Linked DNA regions of Drosophila melanogaster. The protein of the gene in region 1 purifies or fractionates together with the protein of each later gene. This does not show direct contact. Each region holds a gene or a part of one and is shown on either strand. Other genes may lie near its edges. The genes, in order: LS2 and U2af38.

The links.
Region 2: the proteins of LS2 (region 1) and U2af38 purify together in Drosophila melanogaster (affinity purification with western blotting, with the first as the bait; one study listed by BioGRID). This does not show direct contact.

What each region holds. Positions count from the first base shown.
Region 1 is NT_033778.4:23,209,445-23,213,271, forward strand, and holds LS2 (large subunit 2), read right to left. Parts: upstream 2,096-3,827; 5' UTR 2,055-2,095; coding exon 705-2,054; 3' UTR 686-704; downstream 1-685.
Region 2 is NT_033779.5:292,369-296,728, forward strand, and holds U2af38 (U2 small nuclear riboprotein auxiliary factor 38), read right to left. Parts: upstream 2,314-4,360; 5' UTR 2,117-2,313; coding exon 2,073-2,116; intron 2,005-2,072; coding exon 1,254-2,004; 3' UTR 635-1,253; downstream 1-634. Other genes in the region: CG11562 (uncharacterized protein), read left to right, coding at 201-292, 349-634; Stip1 (stress induced phosphoprotein 1), read left to right, coding at 2,904-2,912, 2,978-3,260, 3,336-4,360. UniProt on the Drosophila melanogaster protein: Necessary for the splicing of pre-mRNA. Binds to the polypyrimidine tract of introns early during spliceosome assembly.

The DNA.
Region 1 (3,827 bases):
TGCCACCTGTAAAACTTCTTTCTTTCCGTGTGCTGACCATTTCATTACGCGTACGAGTATTGATGATCGGCTGTCGACCAAATGACCAAACTTTGAGATAAGAAAAGACCCCAACCCCAGGCTGAACGGATGATGCCCCAAGACCCACGAAACGTGATACCTGAGAAAATGCAACCGTTCGTCGGCGAGATAAGCCGCCGAAGAAGCTTCTCCATTGAAAAGGCATTAAGGCATTACCTGGGCTTCGTAATAAGCGGTCGGTAGGTGTGAATATGCCGAGAAATGTCGACGATAAAGCGTAAAGTTTAAAATTTTAATTAAGCAAGAGCTTTGGCCTGACTCTTCCAGAGGAACTGGAAATAAAAGGTGAGCGGAGAAGCTGCTGCAGGAGCTGTCGGCTTTCGAGCAGCTTTAAGGATTGCAGCTTAAGTCGGTCTGCCTAATTGAATTTCTGCCATCGTATTTGGGGGGCGAGGAGGCGTGTCCTCACATTTCGATCCCAGATAACTTAAAGCGTTAAGCAGTTGATATCACAACAACGAGAGTGGAGAACTGGATATTAACTTCCTTATCGCTCGTGGCCTTGGCCACATCAGCTCACCGAGTCATCATCAGGTGTCATGATGGACTGACTATTAAGTGTAGATGTTCCTAGATGGTTGAGCATATTGAAATTTCAGTTAATATGGTTTATTATTTCGACTTTATTGTAGATCATCCGCCAGGTACTTTTCGGGATCGTAATACGAGGTCATCACTATGCGCCCGCTGAACTTGCGACCACTCAACGCCTTAAGGGCCTTCTGCGAATCCTCCACGGATTCGAACTGGACGAAGACCTTGCCACAGCCCCGCTTCGGAAATTGACCGATGGGACGCGGAATCTTGATGCTGCGAACCTCGCCGAACTTGGCGCACTCCTGCTTGATGTCCGTGCGAATGTCCTCGAACTCCTCGTCGTCCAGCAGCTCCTCCGGCCGCACCATGTTCAGCAGGCAGAGAGTTTCGGTAGGTGAGCCAGGATCTTGTAGTGTGGATATGCCCGGTACCTGAAGAACGGTTGGTAAGTGGCCGGGGAATGCGTTCTTTCCGCCTGGAATAGATCTCTGGACCACCAGCCTGCGATCCCCCAGCAGCATGCCGTGCAATCCAGCTATGGCGTGATCGGTAACCGAGGGATCGCAGTACTCAAAGAAGGCGAAACCCTTGTTCAGGTTCGTGTTGGTATCCATCACCAGATTCAGTCCTTTCAGTTCTCCAAACGACTGCAGCAGTTCCTTGACCTGATCCTGATTCAGGCAGGTGGGCAAGCCACCTACGTAGATCTTATTGGGGGAATCGGGGACAATAGTGGTCACAGGAAGGGTAACAGCCGGTTGTTGGGCTACATTGATGGCAGGGACCCTGAATGACCTGTAGCTCTCCATTGCAGAGACTGAAATCGAGGGCACTGGCTGATAGTCGTGTGGCCGTCTTATCTTCAAGGTTTGTCCACGGAAGACCATCCCATCGAAATTCAAGGCCTGGCTGGCCTCGTCAATGGATCGGAATTCCAGAAAGGCAAAGTTCTTCTCCAGATTCGTTTGGCAGGTCAGCACAGCATTGCCATCCATGTAGTGCGAGCTTTTTGCTTCAAATCCCAGAGCCATGATCTGATGATTGAAGAACTGCATCATCTCCTCATCCGTAACTCCGAATGGAATATTACCCACATACAGGCGGCGAGCTTGTCGAGTGATCATCGAAATCGCGGCGGACTCGCCCCCGTGTACGCCATCGGAAAGAATCCTCGAGGCAATCTGGCCGCTGGCCAGCATGGCCTTGTACTGTTGCGGAGTCAGGTGGTTATAACCCTCTGGTGGAATGTCCCAGGAGGAGGGAGGCCGACTGAAACGTCGCTGCAATCGCGTCCTCTCTGTGTAAATGGTATCCGAACGGGTGGGCCGGGATCGAGTAATGGATTGCGAACGGAAAGGCGAACGCGAACGTGAACGTGAACGTGAACGCGAACGCAGAGCATTCCAAGAACGATTCATGGGCCGAAAACGTCTCATACTTTTCAGCTAAAATCACCGAACACCAGGCCTTGTTGGTGAACTAAAATGAAATCACAATAAAAGCTACTCTGATTAAAAAGTTCAGTGTGACAACTGAAGGAATCATCGATAACGAGCAATGTGACCGCACTTAATCGACATAATGTAACGTAAATTTAATTTCTTGTCTAAGTCTAGCAAATTAAAAAATTCTCTGCAATCCGGCAAATTTGTTCATTCAGCATTCACATCTATCATTTAATGTATTCGATGCCAATGGCGGGGAGCTTGAATCAAAAAAAAAAAAAAAAACAATTAAGTCGTTTATCATACATCATCCGGATAGTTTTCAGCTTTCATTGTGCCTCGTTATATCTTTCGACAGAAAAACGTATCTACATACGTATCTGCGGGTGCATTTCCAGCGAATAATCATAATCATCATAATTTTCGTTAATATCGCCAATCAATTATAATTAATTGGCAACGGCTCGCCCGCAGGCCGTATAAATAGAGAAGAAGCAATTTGTTCAGGCCATGCTTTTTGGGTTCGTTTTCGGAGCTGCGTGTGTCTCCATCGCGATGTGTGGTCCTCCGAGCCCAGCTTCCCGCAGGGGATGAGTCGGGGATACCATCCTCGCCACATTCCTCGGAAACGCGACAACGACTTCATTTGGAACTGAGGGGCGGCTCAATTAATTCAGAAAGGCGACACAATAAAACTGTCAACTCAAATCGGACAAAAGAGGGATTTCAAACTTTAGGGGAATACTATTCTATTCACCGTAAATATCCTGCTTGCATAACGATGCACAGAACGGAGTGTTTGAACAAGGTAAGAAATCAATTTGAATAAAATGCTTGACTTTTCCCTCAGTGCATTCCCTTCTACACGTCACCATTCCACACATAACCCCCTATAAAGAACTTTATCGAACCCAGAAACCAAGTGATAATTTATGTCCCGATCCTCGATCATCGACTACACCGCACCTCCTTTGTGGAGGCTCTCAGGTATCATTCCCCATCAGCTAGGATAATGGTCTACTGTTTAATGGCTATTTGATGGCCCGGCGATCGCGCACAGATAAAGATACAGAGATAGAGATACAGATACAATCCCAGTCATGATTCAAGGCCAATTTGACACTTGTGAGGAATTTGAGATGGCGGCGCGGGTGCATACTAAAATGCAATCTCTGTCCGGCATTAAGCCTAAATTAAATATATTTCATCCAGTGTCCAAAAACCAATTAATTCTTTGTCCAGCCGCTTGGGTTTGTTGCTGCTGCCGAGGTTCCAATGGAACCAGAACCTGTCCACAAGCCTGACAAACGCAATTAATTTGTCCATTTAAATTCAGGCAACGTCTCCCCGCCCGCCGATTTTCTGACATATCCCCACATTGATGTCCATCGATGATATGGCGACATGGAGCCCGGATGAGGATGACGAACGCCCCGACTTCACATTCCCTCTCTCTCTCCGTTTTTTCGATCACCCATTTAGATTTGGGCCTTTTATTTGAACAATAACGACGAAGGCCATAAATTAATTTTTTCCTTGGCACACAAACAACTGAATAAAAATTCATAACATATTGTGCCACGTCTGAGTTTTGGCCAAATGGAAATCAGTCAAGAGGCCAAAACCAAACCCACACCAATTTTAAAGTCGTTCTGGGCAAAAGAGAATTTTTGGTTGCGTTGCGTGGGAATATCAGTTCAATAAAAGTGTTACTATTATATGTGTATATCATTATTTATAACTAATAATAATAACAGCCGCTAC
Region 2 (4,360 bases), on another chromosome or scaffold:
GCGCACTAACTCTGGATAGGGAAAACTTTGCTTCCGTAAACTGGCCACTCTCTTGTCAGCTGTGTGGTGCTGTTGTTTTTCTTTCAAATTTAAAGTCATGTCGTAACCCGAACCGACTTCAAAACAACACAACCCGACAGCCAAATTCCTAGTGCAGGCATTTTAGGCGGAAATCTCCAGCGGCAGACCGGTGCCCAGTCATGTCGACCGCTTCGCGAGTGACTTTGGGACTGGCGGTCTCCATTTCCACAGCGATCATAGGTTATGTGCACTATAAACAATCGGCAGACCGGTAAGTAAGCCAAATACTCCGGAATAAAGTTATAGCCTCCGATCTCTAACTTCCAGCCTGAGACTGCACGATGGTGTCCTGAGGGACGTTGAGCAGCAACAACGGCGCAAACACGAGAATACCTACACGCTGCAGCAGCAAATAGACATGACCAAGCAACTGAAAGCCAGGGAGGCGTCTAGCAACTCCTCTGACACGCCCGTACCTCCATCGACGCATCGCGCACAGAGTAATCTTCAAGCGGAGAAGCCAGCAGTGCAAAATGAAGGCGAGGCTTTCAGAGGTGTTCCTCAGGGTGGAACGACTAATCACGATGGAAGCCCGCCAACTGACATAGCTTGATCACAAATATGCCCCTAAATATGCACCTATTAAAATCTAAGACTAAGTCGGGGAAAACAAGAATTTCGTTGTTCAAATGTACGCATTTTTGAAGATTTTAAGATTTCGTCTTAAGACAGTTGACAGCATCATTTACGCTGTTGATCGTTTTCAGTTGGTGAAGCCATCTGCGCATGGAAATATAATTAAAACAACGTGGTAAGATTCAATCTTACAAAGCGAAATAAGACTGCAGGCCTAACAAGGGGTGGTGTCTTCTGGATGTTATCCATACCTGTGAGGAGTCTTTTATTTTGAGTGCCTGGACTTTTTGACAATTAGACCCATTTCTTACTATGGCTTCCAGTATAATATTACTCAATTTTATTATTATGAATGTATGTATAGTAAATTACAATTCTAATGGGCGCTCGGTAAAATATTTCGCGGGGGGTTTGTACATAGGTGGTGGAACTCCCCATCGTCATTTTCCTCCTCCTCCTTCCATCTCGTTTACTCAAAAGTGATATAAAAACGTGGAAAACCAACGCAGAGACTAAAATACACGATGCTTTGCGTTACTGCTTGTCCGTTGCTTTCTCTCTCAATTGCCACCGTACAGAAAAAATGTCCAGAATATTTAATACCGTCCACCACCACCACCGCCTCCTCCGCCACCACCTTTGCGGCGATCGCGATCGTTTCCGCGATCATTGCCACGCATGTTGTCCCGCTCGTTGTTCAAGTAGTTTCCTCCGCCGACACCGTCGCCTCTGCCGCCTCCTCTTCGACCCGGGGATCGGGACCTGCTGCGGGAGCCGCGACGGCGTCCAGGGGATCGGGAACGGGAGCGGGCACGACGGCGGCGGGAGTAGAGGTACCTTCGCAGCTCACGCGAGATGGGCTTCAAGTGCATGAAGTTGCAGAAGCCGGAGCGGGTACATTCGCCCATCTCGTACTGCCGACAGCAAGCCTCGCGGAAGTCGGTCACCGGCGATAGTTCCGAGTACACCGGTCGACCACCGAACCACCGGTTGTTCAAATCGTTTGCCGCCTTTTCCGCATCAGCCTCGTTACGGAATTTGATGTACACATTGCCGACCAGATGGTCGCCTAGGTTGTCGCACACGTTCATCTCCTCGATTTCCCCGTACTTGTCCTCGCACTCTACGAACACGTCCTCGAAAAAATTGTCGTAGTGTTCTTGCATCTCCTCGTCGGAGACGTTGGCCACCAGATGGGAGCCATCCGCGGATTTGGCGGAGTTTTGGGGGTTCACGTATAGATTTTGGAGAAGCACCGTCTGCGAGAAAGTGGGTTTGTTGTGGATGCGAGAGCACCGGTCGCCGTGGCGGCAGGCGCCGATCTTGAAGTAGAACGAACAGTTCACCCTGGGAAATGCAACGCCATTTAGTTATTAATCCCGGCAACGTTAAAATAAATGTGCCATGCGACTTACTTGTCCTTTTCCGTGCCAAAAATGGATGCCAAGTACTCGGCCATGCTGGCGGCTTTACTGTGGTGTTGCTGTGGCCAAAATGTGTAACTTATCTACCCGCTTGTCTCTGCAACGCGGTCAAACTGCAATTATGTTAGCCGCCTGTTTATTTAGTGATAATTTTCAATTATTTTCGGAAACCGAAAAAAGCAGCGTCTGGTCGTATTTTGCACGGCGTTGCCAGCCTCGAATCTAGAGTTGCAAATAAAATCGATGATTAGTTATCGATATTTAGTGTTTTTGGCAGCATCGTTTTTCGATACCTCTGTTCTTAATTTAAATGTTTTAAAATATGCTAACATTTTAAATATTAATTTCAAATATTTAAATATTAATGCACTTAAAAGCCTGAGGACTTATTTTTCATTTGACTAGAAAAATTTTACAATTCAAAATAAGAAATTGAGAAAATTATTTACGCAAATAATAATATAATATAAACATAAATAAACAATACAATAAAATAACATTTAAATTCTATAAAGCTCAAGGTATTATTTATATTTGATCAACAATTTTTTTAATTTATATAAGCAATGGAAAAAATTATTTAAGAAGGCTTGCTGGTTTTGTTCCCCGCTTGAGAACGAGCTAAGTTCTAAACCGCAGTCTGGAAAAAGATTAAATTCAGTCGCAGAAGCATTGACAACCCTATCGATTGCTTCTAGAAAAGTCGGCATTTTTCGCATTTTCACCTGGCACGGCACATTTCGCAGCGTGTTTTATTAAAAAGTCGTACAAAAATACAGGAAAAACTGTAATTCGACAGCGCTATCCTCTCCCTTATCAGAAATGGACAAGGTAAGTGCCCGAGACAAAGGAAAGGCGTTGGCATTTCCAATCAAAAACCCTTGCGGTTTTCGCAGGTGAACGAACTCAAGGAAAAGGGTAACCAGGCGCTCAGTGCCGAGAAGTTCGACGAGGCGGTGGCGGCGTACACAGAGGCCATCGCTCTGGACGACCAGAACCATGTGCTCTACAGCAACCGTTCGGCGGCATTCGCCAAGGCTGGAAAGTTCCAGGAGGCGCTAGAAGATGCGGAGAAGACCATTCAGCTTAATCCCACCTGGCCTAAGGGTTACTCACGCAAAGGAGCTGCCGCTGCGGGTCTGAATGACTTTATGAAGGCCTTCGAAGCGTACAACGAGGGTAAGTTCAAACACAGCTCAGTTATATGCCATGAATCACCCGACCTAACCTCACTAACCTCGGTTACCGGCGCAGGTCTCAAGTACGATCCCACGAATGCTATACTCCTGCAAGGCCGCATGGAAACTACTGCCTCGGCTCTGAGCTTTATGCAATCGCAGGGGGATATACCCATGGACGTTGATCCCCAGCAGGCACGCAGCCGCAGGGCTCCATCGCCACCGCCGGCGAAACCGGCTGAGCCCCCAAAGCCCGCTGAACCTCGGGTAGAGGACATGACTGAGGAGCAGAAGAATAAGTACTTCGCGAGGAAGGAGAAGGAACTGGGCAACGCCGCCTACAAGAAAAAGGACTTTGAAACGGCCCTAAAACACTACCACGCTGCCATTGAACACGATCCCACGGATATCACGTTCTATAACAACATAGCTGCTGTTCACTTTGAGCGCAAGGAGTACGAGGAGTGCATCAAGCAGTGCGAGAAGGGCATTGAGGTGGGGCGCGAAAGCCGCGCCGACTTTAAGCTGATAGCTAAGTCCTTTGCTCGCATCGGTAACACCTATCGTAAGCTAGAGAACTACAAGCAGGCGAAGGTTTACTATGAGAAGGCCATGTCCGAGCATCGCACCCCTGAGATCAAGACCTCGCTGAGCGAGGTGGAAGCCAAAATCAAGGAGGAGGAGCGAATGGCCTACATCAATCCGGAGAAGGCCGAGGAAGAGAAGGAGCAGGGCAACCTTTTCTTTAAGAAGGGGGACTACAGCACCGCTGTAAAGCACTACACCGAGGCCATCAAGCGCAATCCGGATGATCCCAAACTCTATAGTAACCGCGCCGCCTGCTACACCAAGCTGGCCGCCTTTGATCTGGGCCTCAAGGACTGCGACACTTGCATCAAGCTAGACGAAAAGTTCATAAAGGGCTACATCCGCAAGGGCAAAATTCTACAGGGCATGCAGCAACAATCTAAGGCGCAAGCCGCTTACCAAAAGGCCCTGGAACTGGACCCCAACAACGCGGAGGCCATTGAAGGCTACCGTCAGTGTTCGATGAACTTCCAGCGCAATCCGCAGGAGGTCCTCAAAAACGCAATGTCCGAC